Linked DNA regions of Lonchura striata. The protein of the gene in region 2 interacts with the protein of the main gene of each other region in a pairwise test. Links are inferred from orthologs where the notes say so. Each region holds a gene or a part of one and is shown on either strand. Other genes may lie near its edges.

Region 1 (10,399 bases), on a different chromosome or scaffold from region 2:
ATGAAAAAATTAAAGACTACAGAAATGTAATTACACCATAGAATTTATGACTCAGCCTTAAAATGCAAAGTGTTTTGAATTAAAAGAGAGACTAAGGCATTTACTTCATTTCCTTTCAGGAGAATCTGATCTTACTTAAGATATAGACAATCCAATCAAAATACTTAACTCATATTTCCTCTTGGATAACATTTCTTTTTGGATTCAGTGTAAATGAGATCAACCAAGAAATCAGACACTCAACCACATGGCAAATCTATTGCATGTACAGGAAATCTCCCCAAACTTCACAGCTCAACAAGCAAAAATGCTGCACAAGTGATGGGTTTTATTCAATTTCCATTCTCCTCTGTCTACAGGTCTCAGCTTTAACTTTTCAGCTTCCTGTAGTCAGGAGTACTGAGGAAGGCACCTGCAGCAATCTGCTGCCTCCACCCTGGGTGCCTCTGTGTGGCAGCTATTCAGTCATATTGATAAAATACTTATCATTAAAATAATTAAGATCAATGGCATACAAAACATGGGGAGAGGAAAAAACCAAAGCAGCTCCCAAACCACTGGGGGACCATGACTATCAAGAAAATATGTGTACTTCACACAACAGCAACACTGCAATGTATTACACAGCAGCAGTTACCACCCCACCCTTCCTGATCAGCGCTTGGCTGCACCAGCCACTACAATCAAAAGAAATAAAAGCAGGATATGCCTTTCAGAAACCCTCCAGGGTGATGCTGGAAAGAATAAATGTGTCTTTAACCTCCCCTCTGAAGAAATTGTGTATCATTGAGCCTAAGTAGGCACCAATCTATATCCCCTAGAAAAATCTGTGGAAAAATGAGAAGTTCACAGGTATTAAGACATGAAAAATGCCAGTAAAATCCTGGCATTTTACAGAAGGACACATGCAATTCTCCTTCACTTAAAGTTTCGTCTAATTCAAAGGTTTTTTTGCAAATATATCCTCCCCTAATCACAATGATGAAAAATGCAAATGATCATGCCAGATAACATAATTAAAAACTTCTGAACCCGAAAGCCAGCAGAGAGGAATACAATGAAGCTGTCAAAATTCAGCCAGGCTTTAAGAGATTCAATAGATAAAATATGGCAAAGGGAGAAAACAGAAAAACACAGCTCATACTGGGACCAGAACAAGCCTTCCAGGCAACTGCCAAAACAGCTATGATAAAACTATCAAACCAAAGTAAAACAAACACATTTTAAATTCTCCCTAACCATAGGTTTACAGGCAGTTCCTCTCATCTGGCAGTGTCAAATCACACACAGTACCTCAGCTTCTGCACGGAAGTTCTCTTGTCTTACAACAAACTATTTTACAGGACAGAGTAGATTCTGATTTACCACTGATTTTAGAAATGTCTCCTTTGTACATTTGTACACAATATTCCAGCTCAAATGTAAGGTTTTGACTGATAAGACTAAAAAGATGAAGTAGGTAAGATGCCTTCCTAATTAAATGTTACCCAACAGCTGTGCTTTTCCTATTGTTTAGTAAATAACATTTGCCAACTTATAAAGCATGAAATGCTACATACTTGAAGCAGAAGAAAGCCACCACCTACTGCAGTTGCTGCAAGCTTTCCGACTTTCTGGAACAAAAATCCCGCACACCTTAGGGGAACAAAACAAAACAAAAAAAAAACCCAGTCTAATGAAGTTTTCTGCTAAACAATGCCACACTACACAATTCCTGACTACAACTATTACCATTATTTCATATAAAAAGCAAATGTATCACTTCATATTTACAAATTTAAAAATCAAGGCTATTTAATTCAAGCAATATTAAATTAACAATGTTTAAAACAATACAATGTGAGTAATGGTTGCCTGTTCCTGGCTGTCTCATGGCCCCTTTAAAGTAACCTTGAGATCCCAAGATCTTACTGCTATTAAATGTAGCATGTTAATAAAGCACAGCATAATTACATAACAGTGCTACTATAACTGTTCCCAAGTGGAATGTAAATATATTATACTGTAATTTATATTAACTACACAACTCATAACTGAAATATCTCAGTAAAAAGCAGCACATTCCTATCACAAGAGTTAAACTCAGTGAGGGCACTCTGCTGGGACATGGTGTTAAGTCTATTTTTAATGGATCAAGGCAACCAGAAAATTACCTTGTTCTCAGGCTCCAAACCTCCCTCATCAAATGGAGAACAGATATGGATATCACAGAACAATGACAAGGCAGGAAGGGGCCTCTGGAGGTCACCTGGGCCAGTCACCTTCCCAAAACTGCTGCAGAGCCCAATCCAATCTCAAAGCTGGATCGGGCTGCCAAGAGCCCTGACTCAGACATGAGTTTCCAAGGCTGATGGTTCCACAACTTCCCTGGGCAATTCCAGTGTGTCTAAACACTGGCTCACATGCAGAGGGGAATTTTTTCCCGCTGCATATAAATAGTGAATTGTCATTTATATACATCAGTAGGCAGCCAGAGAGATGTGCATCTACAGATACTGAAATGTGCATTTTCCAGATCATTCAATAAGCCAGTTTTTATGGATGCCAGATGAACTATTCCCTAGAAACATCTGAGTTTACACGTACACATATAACTTTTTAAAATAACTCTAAGGCTACAGAAGCAAATAAAAAATTCTGACTGAAAGCTAAACCCACACCACAAAGCTGTACTGAGCTGGGTACAATAATTTCATTTTTAGTTTATTTCATCTTCTAATCCTTGCATAATCCCTCTTTAAAAGTCACTTTGCTACTATAATGGTGTTTTTCAATGAATTTACAGTTTTTCTGTGTACTGGAGTAGACAAATACCATTCAAATACCTCTGACAAATAACAAATACCTTGACACAGCTGCTCAGGCTGTGACCACATTTTCCAGTTTAAGTTCTCATCCTGACTGTCTAGCTTTCACCATGAATTATTCTAGTATAACTAGGCTATGTATCAGTTAACATCACAGTAAACTGTGAATTTGCTCAACATGGCTGCAGCTCAATTTAGAAGAAAAAAAGTCTCCAGGAAATGAGGCTCTTAATTAAAAGTACATTTTGCCATCCTTTTTTCCTTCCTTCATTTCTTTTACCTGTAAATATGTCTCAGCCATAATATAACTAAGTTTCTAAATCTAGATAAGGAAGTATGCTCTTCCATACAGAGTAAAAGCTACATGTAGTAATTTTCCATTTATTTCTTGTCATTTTAGAGCTCTGACATTTTCCCAAATCTTTTCCACAGTAACTAGTATGAGTTCCCTTGGATAACTCATGTTTCACCACTATTAAAAAACACTTCATAATGAGTCAGAGTAACAAGCTAAAATTGTTCACACATGAACAATCTTGATCAATGCTAAAGGAAATCCCATTAAACATGTATTTATCTGCTTTCAAATACCCTTGGAAATGGATCTCCTAACAAAGTAAAATGTCTAGGCCAGTTATGGAAAGGGAAGCTCCCTCACCAGCCAGTCACACCTCCCATCACAATCTGTGTGGCTACAGAGTATTTTTCTACAATTGGTCCTGAATTCCGGCCAAACAAGCGGTTCCACCAATGGTGACGTCGAGCATATTCTGTTAAATCCAGCACTTCGTAGGAATCGTCGTCACTGTCGTGGTCTGAAATAGAAAAAGCAATTTTTAAACATGTTATCTTCTCAGTTATAGAGTAAATTAACAAGTTATGTGAAAGTCCCAGACTCAGTTTGGGCATTAACCGGGTAATCCAATGGTTTCAACTGTAATGTACAAGTTATGGTCCAGCAGCTCCCAGAACAAAGGATTTGGGGATTCTATGCCATCACCAAGGTAAGGTGTAGAAGGCTACAGCAGTGGTATAATCAATAAAATCCACGCCTGGCACTGCAAAGGTGAACAAGAATCCCCTGCCTGTTCAAGAGACATCCGATAAAACTACCAGTCATCTCATTCACCACAAACAAAAAAACCCAACAAAAACCAAAGGGACAGACCAACATTTGGAAAGATTAAGAACTTCTGGCCCAGTGCTCTCCTCAGAGGACCAGGCATCAGCATTTGCCAGGAAGCGACTTCTGTTCCTTTTCCAGTGAAACAGATGACACAGGGACTTCAGTTAGGTTCCATGTTTTCAGGACAATTCTGTCAATGTTTTCAAAACAGGCATCCTACAATTTCAAATTAAGAGATCCTCAACACTGTGTATACTCAAGCATCAGAGGAAAGAGATGGGTCTAGATTTTTAAAGAAAAATATTTTAAAAGTGTATCACAGTCTGTGACATACACACATGAACTGAAGTCCACTTTGATTAAATATATTTAAGGTTAAATCTAAATTCAGCACTATGGGTAGGACATTCCAGAAGAAGTTAAATTTTTACCTAGAATTAAAGCAAGACTGTAAATATAAACATTTTATTAAAATTTTGACAGTTTTTTAACTTGTACTACCAGTATGGGTAAAAGCTTCAAAGACTGCAAGAAGTACATATATAGGTGGGCATTATTTCTCTTTATTACCATATGTCCTTGAGTACTAAGTAATAAATAGTGAGACCTATAATGCTAAAAAATTGATATTGAATGTTCTTTCTTTGCAGTACTGAGGACAACTTGTTTAACTTCTTTGGATGGAGAATATTAAAACACTGTCATGAACAGTCACAATAATTCCGCCCTTAAATTATTATTATTTAAACCAGAACTAGTGTACACATCCATAACACGCTCTGTGGCAAATAACTGCCAGAGCGTTTTCTACCGATGAAAAATCCTCCTGCATGCGACAAATGATGTTCCGCACACTGCCCAAGCACACGGAACGTGCCAGTGCCGAAAGGCGCCGCAGGACGAGGCCACAGCGATGCCCGGAGAGCCCCGCGCGGGGAAGGATGCGGCGGCCATGGGGGCTGGAGCCTCCGGTCCCGCATCCCCCCGGCACCTCCGGCTCCGTGAGGGCTCGGCCGGCCCTCATTCTGCCCGCGGGCCTGCCTAGAAGGGGTTTGGCTGGTTAAATCCCGGGAACGAGCTTTAGCCCGGGTGATGCCAGGAGCGCCGGGGCCGATGCGCCGGGCCGCGCGGTGGAGGGGGGGACACGCAACGGACAAGGGAGGCGCAGAGCCCGGGCCATCCCTCCCCGCCCCCGGGACGCAGCGGGAGGGGGCTGCCCGCCGCCCCCGAGAGGAGGAAGGGCGCCCGCCGCGCCGCCTCCTCCGCGCTCCCGTCAGGAAGGGGCCAGCACTGACCTGAGGCGGAGCGGGGCCGCCGCGCCGCCATGTTGGCCGGTGCTGAGGCGGCGAGCGGCCGCCCCGCTGCGCCCCCAGCGGCCGCTCGCGCCCCGCCCCGCCGCGGTGCCGCCCCCTCGCGGCCGCGCCGCGCATGCGCCTCCCGCTCCCCTCACCCCGGGGAGTCCCTGAGGGGGAGGCTGCGGGAAGGGGCGCGGGCTGCGCGGTGGGAATAGTGGCGTATCCCGAGCTGGAGAGGACCCGCGGGGATCAGCGAATCCAGCTGGCTGCCCTGCGCAAGGCACCGCAAGAATCCTGCCGTGTGCCTCAGTTATCCCGACGCTTCTTGAGCTCTGCCGGGCTGGTGCTGTGACCACTGCCCTGGGGAGCCTGTTCCACTGCCCAGCGAACCCGCTGGAGGAAGAATCTTTTCCTAATATCCAACCTAAACCTGCCCTGACACAGCTTCAGGGCATTCCCTCGGGATGTGTCACCGTCATCACAGAGTGATGATCAGTGCCTGCCCCTCCTCTCCCCTCACAAGGAATTTGTGACTGCACTGAGGTCTCCCCTCAGTCTCCTCCAGGCTGGACAGACCAAGCGCCCTCAGCTGCTCCTCACACGCTTCCCCTCAAGGCCTTCCACCATCTTCGTTGCCCTCTTTTGGGCTCTCTCCAACAGTTCACTGTGTTTCTTGTATTGTGGTCCTCAAAACAGCACACGATATTCAAGCCTGTGCCTTGAGGGGCTCATTGATGCCAGTGGTGGGGGTAAGAACCCCAAAACCTTCTCAATATCTCCCAGTGGCTGCAGGCATGGCTGGACAGCAGCTGCGTGCCACGAGCCCCATAAAAATTAATAACCAGAAAAAACCAAACACAAGGCCCCTCAAAGTACAAAGGTTAAAGCCAATGTGAGCTGTGAAACATTGGAAAAAACTAAATTTGAGCCCTGGTGTGCTTGCTCCTTCAATGCGTTGGTGGGGTTTCAATGGGCTAAAAGCCACATAATTGTATTTTAGGACTGTTTTTTTAAATGTATGCAGCCGCCACGGAGGTGGCTGACACAGTAAGTGCACCTTTAGGAGCTTTATTGCAATATGAATGAAGAAAACATCAAGGAACTTAATTTATAAATAATAAAATTGAAAACAAATTATTTAAAAGTGTTTACAGCTTCTCACTTGGACTCTTACACTGTCAATACACAAAGCAGGTAATTATAATGAATAAAATCCACTTTTCTGTATGTCATAAAGCTATTTTTATGGAGTAAGCATTTAGGATTTTAATTAAACCCCTTAATTACACCAGCCTTTACAGACATACCAGAAGAGGGAAGAATGTATCTTCCACGAGAAAGTCCTTCTGTAGTCTGCTCTGAAACTGAAATTAGCATATAAAACTTGAAATTAGTGTATAAAGTGGTTGTTTGCTTATTAAATTATTTTTATTACAAACATTTGCCATTGTGATAATTAGGTGACAGCATGCCAGACAGAACTGGTAATATATTGCTTTCTCTAAGGTTTTCAACAGATACATTCCTATAAGGAACAAACAGATTTGTCTCTTATGATTTGTTTTGACAAACACTGTGCATCTTGGGAGTTTTCTTGTTTAAGCATAAAATTGGTGGGTTTGGTATTCCCTTCCCAGTCAGTAAAAAAGTGCTTGTTGACATTTCCCAGTCAGATGCCAGTAAGGTAAGAGAGGTGACCAGAGAGTTTTGCTCACGTTGTGTGAGCCTGGCTATTTTTGTACCTTTTGTAGCTTGAATTCTTAATATTTGGCTTCCCTATTTTTAACTACTATCAGTTAAAAAATAGCAGCACTTCTGTGCAAACAATTATATTAATTTCCTTTCAGAACAGGGAGGTTTGTATAATTAGCACTTTTAAAAGATTAACATTAGTAGCTGCATCATGTACTACCTGCGAATTCTGTTTGCTTCCTTTTGCACCCCTCTTGCCAAGTCAGGGTGGTGTGAGTGGCAGGGAAGGAGTTTAGGAAAGACCCAGGGAAAGCCCTTTGGCAGGTTTCGGGTTGTGTTGTCTCTGTTCTGGGATCAGGATGCACCCCAAGGCGTTTCCCAGTGGGTTCCAGTTGGATGGACACCACAGTAGGATGCAGTGGTGCTCCCAGTATCTGCCTGGGATCTGCAGGCACTGCCTGGGGGATTGGCTCAATGCTTGCACAGAAAATGATGTCAGGATTGTTCTTGCTCCCAGCAAAATCCGTACCCTGTGCAGAGACAGCAAACCTCGTGGCTCCAGAGACCAAGAATAACTGGCAGAGCTTTTACCAGCCCCACTGTGATGTATAAAATTCCCCAAGCCCATTCAAATCTCTTGCACCCTGATGCTTCCTTCAAGCTATTAATGGCAGATTCTGACAGATTTTCCAAGGAAAGGTAGACAATTTAAACTCAGGCCACATTTTGGCTTCACCCTTAAAGGTTCTTCAGGAACAAAGTGTTTTCCTGTATCATCAGAAGGACTGCGCAGAAAAACTGCTCTCTTTGCTCTGTAAATGCTACCTACAAGTTCAGGCTGTGCAGCCACCCTCTGTACCTTATAGCTGTGACAAGCATGTTCAGGGTCACAGCTTGCAATGGAACATACATGGCACACACGTACCTTACAAATAATAAAAAACTCCACACTAAGCAACCAAAAACCCCCAAATGCCCCAAAACCCCAAAAAGCAGAAGAGAGACCCCCAATCATCAAATGCCTGTGCGACTCTAATCCTAGCAGCTTTGTGCTGCTGACCAGAATTCCAAACTGGAACATACATCCTTTAATTTTTTACCACCTTGCATGATTAATTATAGAAACTAAAGGCAACACACACTGCCAGCCCTCTCCACTAGGCCTTGCTTGTGAGTGAAACTTATGTTCTCCACAGGCTTAATCTAGTAAATGCAGTCAGAATAACCTGGCAATAAAGGTATTGGAGTGAATGGATGATTCCTTTTTAACAACCCTATGTGAACATGCTGTTATTCAAAGCTCTGTTGGCTGGAAAATGGCAGAGAAATGTCTGGGAAGGGATTTGGGTTCTAAGTCCATCAAGATCCTGGGCAAGGGCTGTTGTGGAGCAATAACCTGGACTGTTAATGCAGTAGGAAGCTCCATGGCTTCCTGACAAAGAGCAGTGCAGGGGCAGGCACTGATCTCTTCTCCATGGTGACCAGGGACAGGAATTGTGGGAATGTCATGAAGCTGCATCAGGGGAGCTTTAGTTTGGATGTCAGGAAGAGATTTTTCCCCCAGAGGGTTGTTGGGTACTGGAATAGGTTCCCCAGGGCTGTGGTCACAGCTCCAAGCCTGACAGAGCTCAAGCAGCATTTGAACAATGCTCTCAGGCACATGGTTGGATTCTTGTGGATGGGCCAGGAGCTGGATTTTGATGATCCTTGTGGGTCCCTTCCAATTCAGGATATTCCATGATTCTATGATGTTAAAATGAAGATAATATTCCCTGTAATTATGACATTAACAAATACACATCCTTGTGTCTCCTGCCATCTCCATGTGAAATTTTGGATGGCTTGCTTGTATTGCTTGCCTTCAACCTTCCTTTGTCACTTTTCTTTGTAAAATGTTTGTTGCGAGGTTCAACAAAATTTAATTATGAAAATTTTTTTCTTGTTTGTGAACATAATTAAATTCTGCTTTTCAGTTTTGTAGTACTCTAATTTGATAACAGCCTCCTTTATCTTAGAATCACAGAAAAATTTTGGTCAGAAAAGAGCTTTAACACTATTGAGTCCAACCATAAATCTTAATTCATTTATCCTAATGAAATTTAAGTTATAAATTCCCACCACAATCCATGTATAAGTGGAGGAGAAATGTCCAAAGAAAGATATGTCTATTGTCTCCATTAACTAACACGAGTTTAAATAGTCTCTTGCTGAAGAATTCAACTGATACAAAAAGAAAAACCAAGTTTAGTGTGCTGTGGAAGGTGTTTAAACAGGTAACAACCAAAGACATCACCCAGGTAAGGTGTACCACAGCACTTATTAAACAAAACTGATGGTTAGTGTCAGGTCAGGCTGCAGCAGGACACATTCCCATGACCCTCGTCTGGAAAAGTAAGGAAATAAAAATAAGAAGTTAAGGGGGGGATTGATCTTTCCTGTTCATTTTGTTTACTGTATTGATAATAAGGCAAGCTGATTATCCATTAATCTTTTGATCTCAGCTCTGATGAGTTACCAGGCTTGGGCTGCAGCACAGAGCTCTGACCGTGACCTCCTGCTATTGTGTGAATCCCATGTATGCATTGGGATGGTCGGTGCTCCTTGCCTGTGGAAAAACGCTGGGATCACGGCCAGAAGGGAGCTGAGCTTGTGGCAGAGCACTCCTGGGGCAGAGCTGAGCTCATCATTCCTTTAGGATCTTCCCTGGAGGCAGCGGGAAGGAGCAGAATGCAGGAGATGACTCAGGAAGGTTCCTCTTGCACAGTCAAAATGTTTAATAAAAACTGAAGTGTTCAGCTAAATTTGAGGCTTCGTGTTATTGCCCAGGCAAATAAAGGACAGCGAGGGGAACTGAATCTGAGAAAGTCTTGCAAGGCCCTGGAAGGTTGTCTTCAATCTGGTATAGGTGTCTCTCTGTTGTTATATTCTTGTTTAAAACTCTTCTCATATGCAAAGTGACTTTTTTTTAATGAAAGGGTTCTGCCAAGTCTGTGTTTTTAATTTGCTGTTTTCTTGTAAGTAAAATAGGAAAGATTTTTAACTATCTGGAGGTAACCTTTTGTTTACTGTATGTCCATATTATAAAATTACAGAAAAGTGTGCTGACTGTAGTACTGCATTATTTTAGAGAAGTTCTTTAAACAGCTTTTAGCTGGGATCATGAATGTAATGATATATTTTGATTTCAAGTTCTCCTTCAGAGATAAATATCCAATTCCCTTGGCAAATCCTGTAGGTATTTCGGAGTTCCCTGCTATTGTCACTCAAGTACTCGGACAAACTAACAGAGAGTGAGAACAGACTGATAGTCTGGCAGTCTGTCTTGTCAAGCAAATGTAAGGAATTACTTTTTAGAGGAGCTGTAATGATGAATCAATCATACACACCACTTCCACAGCTAACAGATGTTCCTATTTTCTGTAGCATAAGTGCACATAAACAATGAAAAGAAAAATGAAACTTCTTTGCTTGGCTTTTAA
Region 2 (9,637 bases):
CTATACAATTGCAATACACAAGAGATCCATAGCACCCTCTAATTACTCTAAATACCTCGCACAAGCACTGCCTTTTCTTACAATTGTGAGGCCATTAGGTAGGGTTGAGAATCTCAGAACTTTTAGCCCAGATACTTTATTTCACTTCTGAAGTTTGTACGCACCATCAAAATGTTTGCCTGAACTATGGGCAAACATTTGGAACATGAACACCATCCTCCACTCTGACCCTTCTTTTCGACAGGGGCTGTCAGTCCTGGGAAGCATACCTGAGGACTGACTGCATTTATACTCCATAATTCACAAAATGAATAAAATACTACTACTGCCTTGGGTTTGCAACACTACAGAGTGCTCTGAGCATGTGCAAAGGAACTTAACCCTACTAAATGAAACTCCTCCAATATGAAGACTGAGTTTAAACATGTGATTAATGCCACAAAAGCCTCCTGAAAGTTTCTCCAAAACAAATTTAAAGGCCGTGATCTACAAAGATTTACTGATGTGGGTGTGTTTACTCAACTTCACTGTCAATGGAACCAAACAAAGTTATTCATTCTTGTAAGCCTCATCTAGATAATCCTAAAATTTCAACTAAAAGGGTTCATCACTTCTGAAGAATCATTTCTTTCTCCCAGACTTCTCTAGACTTCTGGTGTGAAGAAAACCATAGAAACATCTTAAGCCATAGAAGTTTTTCATCTCCCTGAAGTGACAAGTTGAAAGACAAGTTATTTGATGTTCAGGATCACCAACAGAATTCAAAATTTACATAAACATTTAAGATACAGGTGTAGTCATTATTGATATTTATTAAAGTCTCATGTTACAGTACTATACAAGTATTTCCCTTCCAAAAATACAAAGATAAAATACAGCCCGGTTAGCAAAAAAAGTTATCCAATTGCCTACTCAACAACACTCAAAGTGTTCAAGAGAAGCTAAAATACAAATTATTCCAGTCCAAGGTTTGACTTCCTCAGCATTCTCCAACTGTGCTCTATAACATTACCTAATACTGCAGACAAGAAAAATCAAAACAAAACCCCAGCCTTGGCCACAACAGTCAGAGCCTTAAAAGCTGTCTGTGATGATCTCTACAACAGTAGCCCACTGAGCTGTGAGGCTCGGATACCAGCCAGGGCTAGCCAGAAGTCCAGCTCGAAGGCTTGATTTCAGCTGTGCATGGCTTTGGTCCACTGACTTACAGGACACAGCATGAAACACAGTGCTCTATGCAGTGCCTATCCAAAATGACAACAGAGAACATTTCCTATCCTTTTTCCAGCTACCCTTTACATGTTCAAAGAATATGTGTTTAAAAGGAACAAAATTCATACATAAGTAATAGTGTTGACTTACTCAATTTCTGGCATTAAAGTTACTATCATCTTGATCTCTGATCCTGCAATCAGCCATGCATGTTAATGTTACCTAAGGGTGCAGCCCCTTCATTTCAATAACTGGCAATTACTTTGGTGCCAGTTTCTCTTTTGATGCACCAGCACCATCAAGGATAAATCCCCGTAACTGCAAAAGGCAGTAAGAACAATCTCTTATAATCTAAAATTAAACCTGTCCTACAATTAGTTGACCGCATCTTTTCAATATTACATTTTCCCTACTAAACTAAGCATACACATGGGAAGTTGTCTAGGTTTACCTTCAAAATCTGGCAATTGGTGATACAATCTGGAACCCTACAGCTCTAATAATTGGTGTGAATGCAGCCAGGGACTAGTGATTGAAGGAAGTTCCCATATGGCAATCGTAAAGCAGTATTTTAAAAAATTATAAAAAATATTATCACATCATAAAATCCATCAGTATATAACAGCCTCCGACTGGCACTCTCAAGGTGAACAGAAATTAAATAAATCCTGAGACTGAGTTACCTACTCATACTTGGAGGTGGCTCCTCCAAGACAAAAACTAACCCATTCTGTTGCGGTAGTTAGAGAAACTGCAGTTCTTCCTCACGGATCAATCTATTCCATTAACAGGCACAGGACTTTCAGTACTAGAAGCCTGAAACCTTTCAGGAGGACCTCACAGAAACCACAGGCTGTGTACATATGCACAGAACGTGTCCTACCTGAAAATGGCTGCTTGATGCAACACAGCAGAATAAGGACGTGTTCCTAAAGTCATTTTTGTGTTAGTACTGACACCAATTTTTAAATTAACATCAAGGTACCTCGCTCAAACTGTGATCAAACTATGTGGCAAAACAGCTGGATGCAACTAGGGGATATGAATGAAAGAACATTTTTCTTGTAACTAATTTTTTGAACACAAGGAATTATCTATTGAAAATGTACAGCTTTTGTCCGCAGGTAGTGCATATGGAAAAGTAAAACCATGCAGCCAGGTTGTTCAAAAAGTAAACTTTGACCACATAATCTGACGTGTGCTACACTGCAGGCTTTTGCATCGCTGTCACATGATGGCCATGATTTATCAGACTGAACAGAGCGACAATTTCGCTCTTCAGGGGCTGCAGAAGTGCACAAAGCTCAAAATAAAGAGCATTTCTTTGGTGCAGAAGACTAGTTCTCTGCTCTGTTGCATGAATATTGATAAAAACCCCTATAATGTGAAGTTTTTCAGTAATTCTGCTACACAGTATGCAGCACACCAAAAATGTATTATTTTCCCTGCTATTTCGAAATAATGCAGCAATTTAAGTATACTTTCAATTCCACTCATTTGTTTTGTACCCAAAGAACGGTTGTTGAGTAACAAGTATTTCTTTGAAAATCTCTCACTGTAATACAAAATACAGATTAAAGCTACCTTGGGTTCACCAGTTTCATTCCAGATAGAATGGTACCAGGGTTCAGTTATTAAATAACTATTGAAAACTGAACCAGTAGCTCTGCAAGCAGCAAAAACAGGGAGGCCCCATTTCCTGCAGCAATTTCCAGCTTGAGGTAAGCGTTGCCATGAACTCTCTGGTGTGCAGGTTAAAAGCACCGTTCTACCCAGCTTCCTTACTTCCAGAAATTTTGTAGCAACAGCCCACCTGGGAGACCTCTGCTGCCAAATTTATTTGAACACTTCTAAAAGCCAAAAGAGTTATTAGAGGGACTGAAGGCACAGAGAAATTATAGCTTTATTTGAGCTGCACCTGTTAAAGGAATCAAGCTAACAAAGCACATGGAATAATTAATTACTGGCAATTGCTGCTACTAACTACTGCCACACCTGGTACACAGGATCTTTTTCTTCGAAATTCAGCAGGAGCACAGTGCCCATGCTGCTGTCCCTGTTGCCATCACAGATGCTACCTTGTCCCAAAATTAACCACAACACCCTGGCTGTGCAGAACACACACCAAGTCTCCACTCTATGCTTACGCTCACTAGGAACCTCCTACAACTGAATTTACAGATACACAACAGAAATAAGAGTGGAAGTGCAAGGTTTTATTGTTTGGAAAGGAAACATTCTTACTTCTGCGAAGCCAACAAAAACATGGTTATGGCTGGGCTATACCTACAAACAGAGGTACTGCAAAGGTAACTGACAAGGCAATTCTATCCATCTTCAACACTTACTTTCCAAAAAGGAAAGAAAAAGACTCTGAAGTAAACTTTTGTATCTGCTTTCTGACTTAAGATCAATTTCATTTGCAAAACTTGCCTGAAATATCACTCAGTTATCTATGAATTAAATTAAGTGAAAACCAATACACTTTCTTTGTCAACACACTCCAAGCTTCAAGACTGGTTTTGGAACATTCTGCCACTTTAGGTAAATCCAAAGATCTAATTTTTAATTAATGACTGGCCTCTGCCTAGGGTTAAATCCAGCAGGTACATCTGAATACACCTTTATTATACGAGCTTCGGAAATATTTCTGTCCTAGTTTCCCCAGTGCCAAGTGGACCATACCCACATGCATACAAGACACACAGAAGCCCATATATTAATAAAATAAATAACTGTATCATAAACTTCACATATTTGTAAAAATGAAAATTGGAGAAGTCACACTAGCCCTTGGTCTGAGCACACAACTTTAAGCACATAAAGCCTGCGGGTCCACAGAGAGCAGAAAGTTATGTGCAGACTCCGCAGGAACAGGGGCCTGTGTGTGCCCAACACATTTTTTTCCTTAAAACTGTAAGGAAGACAAGAAGCCCTGATGAAGTGTGATGATTGAACATTTAAATTAATGACTCAGAAATGTACGGCGGTCATGTTCCAGGCTCGATAATAGGATATAAACCAGAACAGTGGAGCGGGGGGAAGAAAAATTAATAGAATATAAAACCACGCAGGCCAAGCTACGGGCGACTCCTGAGTTTTGCCCTTTTACATCCTCCGGCCCCGCGCCGGGAGCGGAGCCGGGAGCGGCTCACGCCGAGCACCAGCCCGGGCGGTGCGCGCCGCCTCCGCCGGGGGACGAGCAGCGCCCGGGGCAGGGGCCGGGAGGGGGCCCGGCCAAGGAGGGGTCACGGCCCTCCCCCGCTAAACTTGCTCCCGCAGCCCGCCCAGCCCAGCGCGGCTCCCGCCCGCCCGACCCCTCGGCCCCGCGGGCAGGGGCTCGGGCCCGGCAGAAAGTTGCCGAGAAAGTTTCTGCAGAGAAGGGCCCGGGGTGCGGGACGCCCCCCGGCCCCGGGGCGCGGCGGCGGGGCGAGGCCGGGGGCGGCGGCCGGGGCCTAGCGCCTCCATCGCCGCCGCCATCGCGGCCGCCGCTCCCGTGGGGCGGCGGAGCGGGGACGCGGCCGGGGCCTCACCTGCCTCTCCTCGGCGTGGCGGGTGGGAGAAGGAGGGGGGGAGGGAAGGAAGCGGGGGCCCCCCCGCTCCTCCCGGAGCCGCGGCGACCCGGGGAGGGAAGCGGGGAGGAGGGGAAGGGAGGAGGGACGAGGAGGAGGGCGCCGAGCGCTCCGGTGCGTGCGGGGAGCTGGAGCCTCGCTGCGGGAGGAGGAGGAGGAGACTCCCCGCCCCTATGGCCGGGATCTCCGGTGGGCACCGCGGCCCCTCCCCCGCACCGCGTTTCCCTCCATGCGCTCCGGGTCGGAATCGCCGCGCCTCCCGGCCGGGGCAGCGCCTCCGCGGCCGAACCGGAGGCCGCGGGGAGGAGCCGGGCGGCCCCCGCGGAGCCGGGCTGGCGGCGGCGGTCCCTCCTCCGCGCCGCCGCGCACCGAGACAACATGGTGGAGACGTGCGGCGCGGCGCGGGGGCGGCGGGAGGGAGCCGGGGCTTGCCCTGCCCCCCGGCTCGCCCGAGGGCGGCCGCCTACTCCCGGCCGTGGGTCGCGGGGACCCCGGTGGGGGTAGATCCTCCCGCCGTGCTGTGCCGTGCCGGGCCGGGCTGGTGAGCCTCTCTTGCCAGAGAAGCTGAACGCGAGAGATTCCGGCAGCGGAGCCCTTCGGCGTGGTGCGGGAAAAGCAAACAAAATAACTTTTAAAACTCCTCGCCTAGGCATCTTCAGGTGGGCCACGGCTTAGGCTCGGTACGTTTAGTTTCCTGTGGGTGAAGCAGAAGCAAGGCGGCTCTCCGGCAGTGCGGGTGCTGCAGCGGCCGGCCGGCAGCTCGGGAATGCCCAGGGCGGCGCCGCGGAACAGACCGGTCGCAGAACACCGAGCAAAGAACGAGCCTGTAAATTACGCATCAGTAACTCCGGGGAATTCCACGTTACGGGTTTCCTTCCCACTCATCGCCGTTCCTTAAGTCAGTGTTTCGTATTTTAAGAAATAAAAACTTGGATTTGTGTCAAGGTGGGCTTCCTGGAGAAAGGTGGTTCAAATGCATCTAGCCTTCAGAACTGCAGACTGCAGGAAAGAGTGAAAGAACATTTAAAAAATGAACCTAAAAAGCCAAAGTTTATGTGGGCAAATTGTCATTTCTCATTCAGCATTATCTTTTATTGTTTCCAGCTCTTTAGTAGTTAAATTTATATCTCTCCCCGCTTTATTTTCTTTAAAGGCTGATCAGAAAACAGTAGTTGTGTTGATCACTAATGATAACCTAATATAGTTTGTTCTTAAGAAAAAGAATTGAGTCAGGATGTCCAGTTTATTTTGCAGGCAATGCTGCAGAGTAAAGCCATTTGTGCTTTTTAATTTCAGATAAAGAAAATACATGTATTTGCTTTTAGAGGACCATAGATACATTTAAACTGTTAACAGAGTACAAAAAAACCAAAAGTGTTCTAGATTTGGAGACTCAATAACATAAATTGTTCTCATGTGACCCTCTTAGGGTCTTGGAATTCATCATATTCTGTTCAGTCTGAAATCTAACTCACATTATATAGAATTGATTTTTAATTTAAACAGCAATTTTAAGTTTTAAAAATTGACCTTGGCAATGAATTACTTAACAGTTTGCAGATTGGTTGAAGCTCTAAGTCGGTTATGACTTCAAAACTCCAACTGGGCTTATGGTAGTCTTGAGTGAAAGCAAAGTTTGAACTCCAGTATCATTTGTGGGGTTTTGTATACACAGGCAAGTGTTGCTGATTGGTTAATTTTACAGCACAATGGTAAAACTTGCATATCTGAAAAACATGAGACTTAGTTGTGTTATCATCTTCATGATGTTTTAAAATTACCCACTTAAGCAATTTTGCAGCATTGGGCTAGAGCTTCATCGTTAGAGACACACTGGCTCTTGCCAGCTGTCGCTGTAATTTGACGTCTGGGTTTCAGGTTCGGTGTTGATGGATGGGATTATACAGTAGTCCTTTCTCACGGCACCTGGCAATGCCCGTGTGGTACCGAAAGGTTTGTTGGGATTCTCAGTTCATCACACCGCTCCTGTTGCTTTCTGTCGTGAAGATCAATGTAAGAAATTATTTGGTGAGGTTTTGAAAGGCTGAGTTATGAACTGTGTCCTCAGTTCACTGTCTTATGTGTATGTGTACTATTAGCTGCCACAGAGAGTACTGGGGCTGCACCAGTGATTGACTCGGTCGGTAGTGGAGAGACTGTCACGCTTAATTTTAAGCACAGCGTGATTAAAATAGCAGAGCAGTTGGGGAGAAGACGAGCTGACCAGTCCCATAGTTGAGAGCAAGCTCAGACTCACACCATATGGGTGTGAAAGAATAGATGAGGGTTTGAGTCGGGAGTCTTGGAGGCTAGACATGGTTTCATTGCAGTGGAAAAACTGTTTGCTTCTTAAATTGTCATGCACTTGTCACTGATAGTCTGAGTGTTCCTTAGAGTATTCCTTTTATAACGAAGTGTTCAACAAGTGACTTAAAATGATCAAACTGTTGTAGTTCAGCCTGATTAATCCTGCACAGGATGGGACTTGGAGTGTCATTGCCACCTTTTGCCTGCCAGTCAGGCAGTCTGCCACATGATACCTGGCTAAAGCTCCCTTTCCGTGGCTGTTCCTGAGTGGGCTCTCAAATATGTTGCAGTGCAGGTGGATTGATACTGCTTGGTATTCACTCAGAAGACTGAGTGGATCAGCCAAAACTACCACAAGTCAGGCAAGGCCAGTGCCTACTTCTAGGAATTTCCCCTCTCTTTCATTCTTTTGTTTTAAATTAATTTTTTTGACCTTGTGGGAGAAGGAGGAGGGAGGAGCTGCCCTCAAATGCTTTAGCATGACTGGAGTATAGTGTAAGAAGCTACTGATGCAGGGGTTCATTGCTGCCATTTGCTGAACACAGTTTGCCAAATCAAATAGCCCATCAGACAGGCTCAGCATTCACTAACTCTTTTGTTTGTTGCATGGTTGGCTGGGGTTAACTTAATCTTGAAGATTTATGCAAATAGCTGATGTTTAGGAAGGCATTCTCTATGTACTATCTTTGGAAATTCTCATATATTTGAACTTTCTAAAATGGTAATTTATACTTACACAATCCTTAATGTGTTTGAGTAATTTGAAAAAATCCCCAAAAATGTATGATAGAGTCAAGGACATATTATGCTAAATAAAGTATATTTCGGGTGACATGGAGAAATACAGGTGTAGGAGCAGAAAGAAGGAGGAACAGAGGAATAGAGATGGAGACAGGCAGACTAAAATATTTCAAACACTGATGTGGGTTCAGTGGTTTGTAATTGGGGCATACAGGACTTGCATCCTGATATATTGAAGGAGATGGACAGATTGATTCTCTGAAGAGTTTTGCCAGTACATGCCAAAAGTTAATCTATGGTACATGTGGTAGTAACCTGAAAATATCAACACATTCTTGAAAACACTTTGTGGGATTGATTTCTAACAATTCAGAGGTAAATTAAAAAAACATTACAGTGGTTTATGGACAAATAATTTTTTCTTTTGAAAGGAATCAAAAAAATTCTGGACCTAAATTAATTCCCTCTTTTTGAGGAATAACTGAGGTAGTCAAGGCCTCATCCAAGCTATTTGCTCTTGGAAAGTGTGGAAAACAATGGTATTTTATAGCAGTACCTCCCAAAATTCATGTGCAAAGTTCCCATTGTTCATTGTACTGTGTGATCATACTACAAAAAAGCAGTTCATCTTGGAAGTAGTATTAGTCACTTGCTTACTTTGAAGCTCTTGGATCATTATTTTAAGAACATGGTGTTTAGCAAAACATAGATATTTCTTTTTAATCCCAAATACATTTCTTTTGAATCTGAATATTCTAAGCATTAGTCGAATAAGTGCATAGTTTTTGTGATGTTAATTTCTATTTAATATTCCAGAAGCTATTAATAAAATCATTGATGTTTAAAACTGAAACATCTTCCTTGGATATAATGCAAATTGCATCCCAGTATAGTAGTTCAGTAAGGAAACGGAGTGCTAAGTCACTGTCTGGTTGATCTGTAATTATTTCCTATTCTGAAGCAAGTATCCTATTTTAGCCTCATGTTAAACTTGTCCCATTTTGCCTTAAAATGTATCTGCATCTCCAAATGGCCAGATCTTTGTGTTTGATGCTCACATCTATTTGCAAGATTAAATATTCCGTTCTTTCTCAAATATCACTTCTGTTTGATCTTGCATAGCATGTCTAATTATATATGTATATTATACTTCTAGCAAGTATGTGGAGGGTTCTTTTTGAAAAACATTGCTTCAAATATTGTTTTTTGAACTTACTAGAAGTTATGCTTAAAAGCATGTTAGAGTTCAAAAACCCTGTCTTCCCAAACCTGTTGCTATTTACATTTGTGTCACATCCAGTTACATCAGACACACTGGATTACATTGTATAATGAAAGCCGTATTGCTGTACTCTAATCTTTATCTCTTTATATCGGATCTCCTTTGAATTGCACATGAGTATTGCTTATGGTTACTTAAAATAACTACTGCTTTTGTTTCAAGGGCAGTGCTATATATGATGAACACTTAACACTCAACCCTGCTTGGGCAGCAACTTCACATCCTGTGTCTTTGGTTCTTGCATGATTTAATTGGGAAGATTGCACACAGTCTTTTTTTATTTTTTCATTTAAATTTCATAGTTGAAGAATCTGAAACCTGTGAAATCATACATGTTCAGAAAAAAATAATATATTTACCTGTGCAACTGTGCAGATAATTCTGAGAGATTTGGAATGTATGCCTTCCTCCTCACAAAGCAGGTTATATACTCTTAGGGAGAGTGGAAAAGGACAAAGAGTAGGAGGAAAATAAGTTTGTGCACTAAAGCTGACCTGAACTGGGGTTGGTTCTGACATCACTG

What was found.
Region 1: the proteins of YES1 (region 2) and FUNDC1 interact in binary tests that used the Homo sapiens proteins (3 or more experiments, as listed by UniProt). The two-hybrid records come from large-scale screens. The link is inferred for Lonchura striata from reciprocal best matches to the Homo sapiens genes YES1 and FUNDC1.

What each region holds. Positions count from the first base shown.
Region 1 is NC_134604.1:110,766,565-110,776,963, forward strand, and holds the start of FUNDC1 (FUN14 domain-containing protein 1), read right to left. Parts: upstream 4,171-10,399; 5' UTR 4,040-4,170; coding exon 3,976-4,039; intron 3,623-3,975; coding exon 3,466-3,622; intron 1,636-3,465; coding exon 1,560-1,635; intron 1-1,559. UniProt on the Homo sapiens protein: Integral mitochondrial outer-membrane protein that mediates the formation of mitochondria-associated endoplasmic reticulum membranes (MAMs).
Region 2 is NC_134603.1:48,347,259-48,356,895, forward strand, and holds the start of YES1 (tyrosine-protein kinase Yes), read right to left. Parts: upstream 4,861-9,637; 5' UTR 4,746-4,860; intron 1-4,745. UniProt on the Homo sapiens protein: Non-receptor protein tyrosine kinase that is involved in the regulation of cell growth and survival, apoptosis, cell-cell adhesion, cytoskeleton remodeling, and differentiation.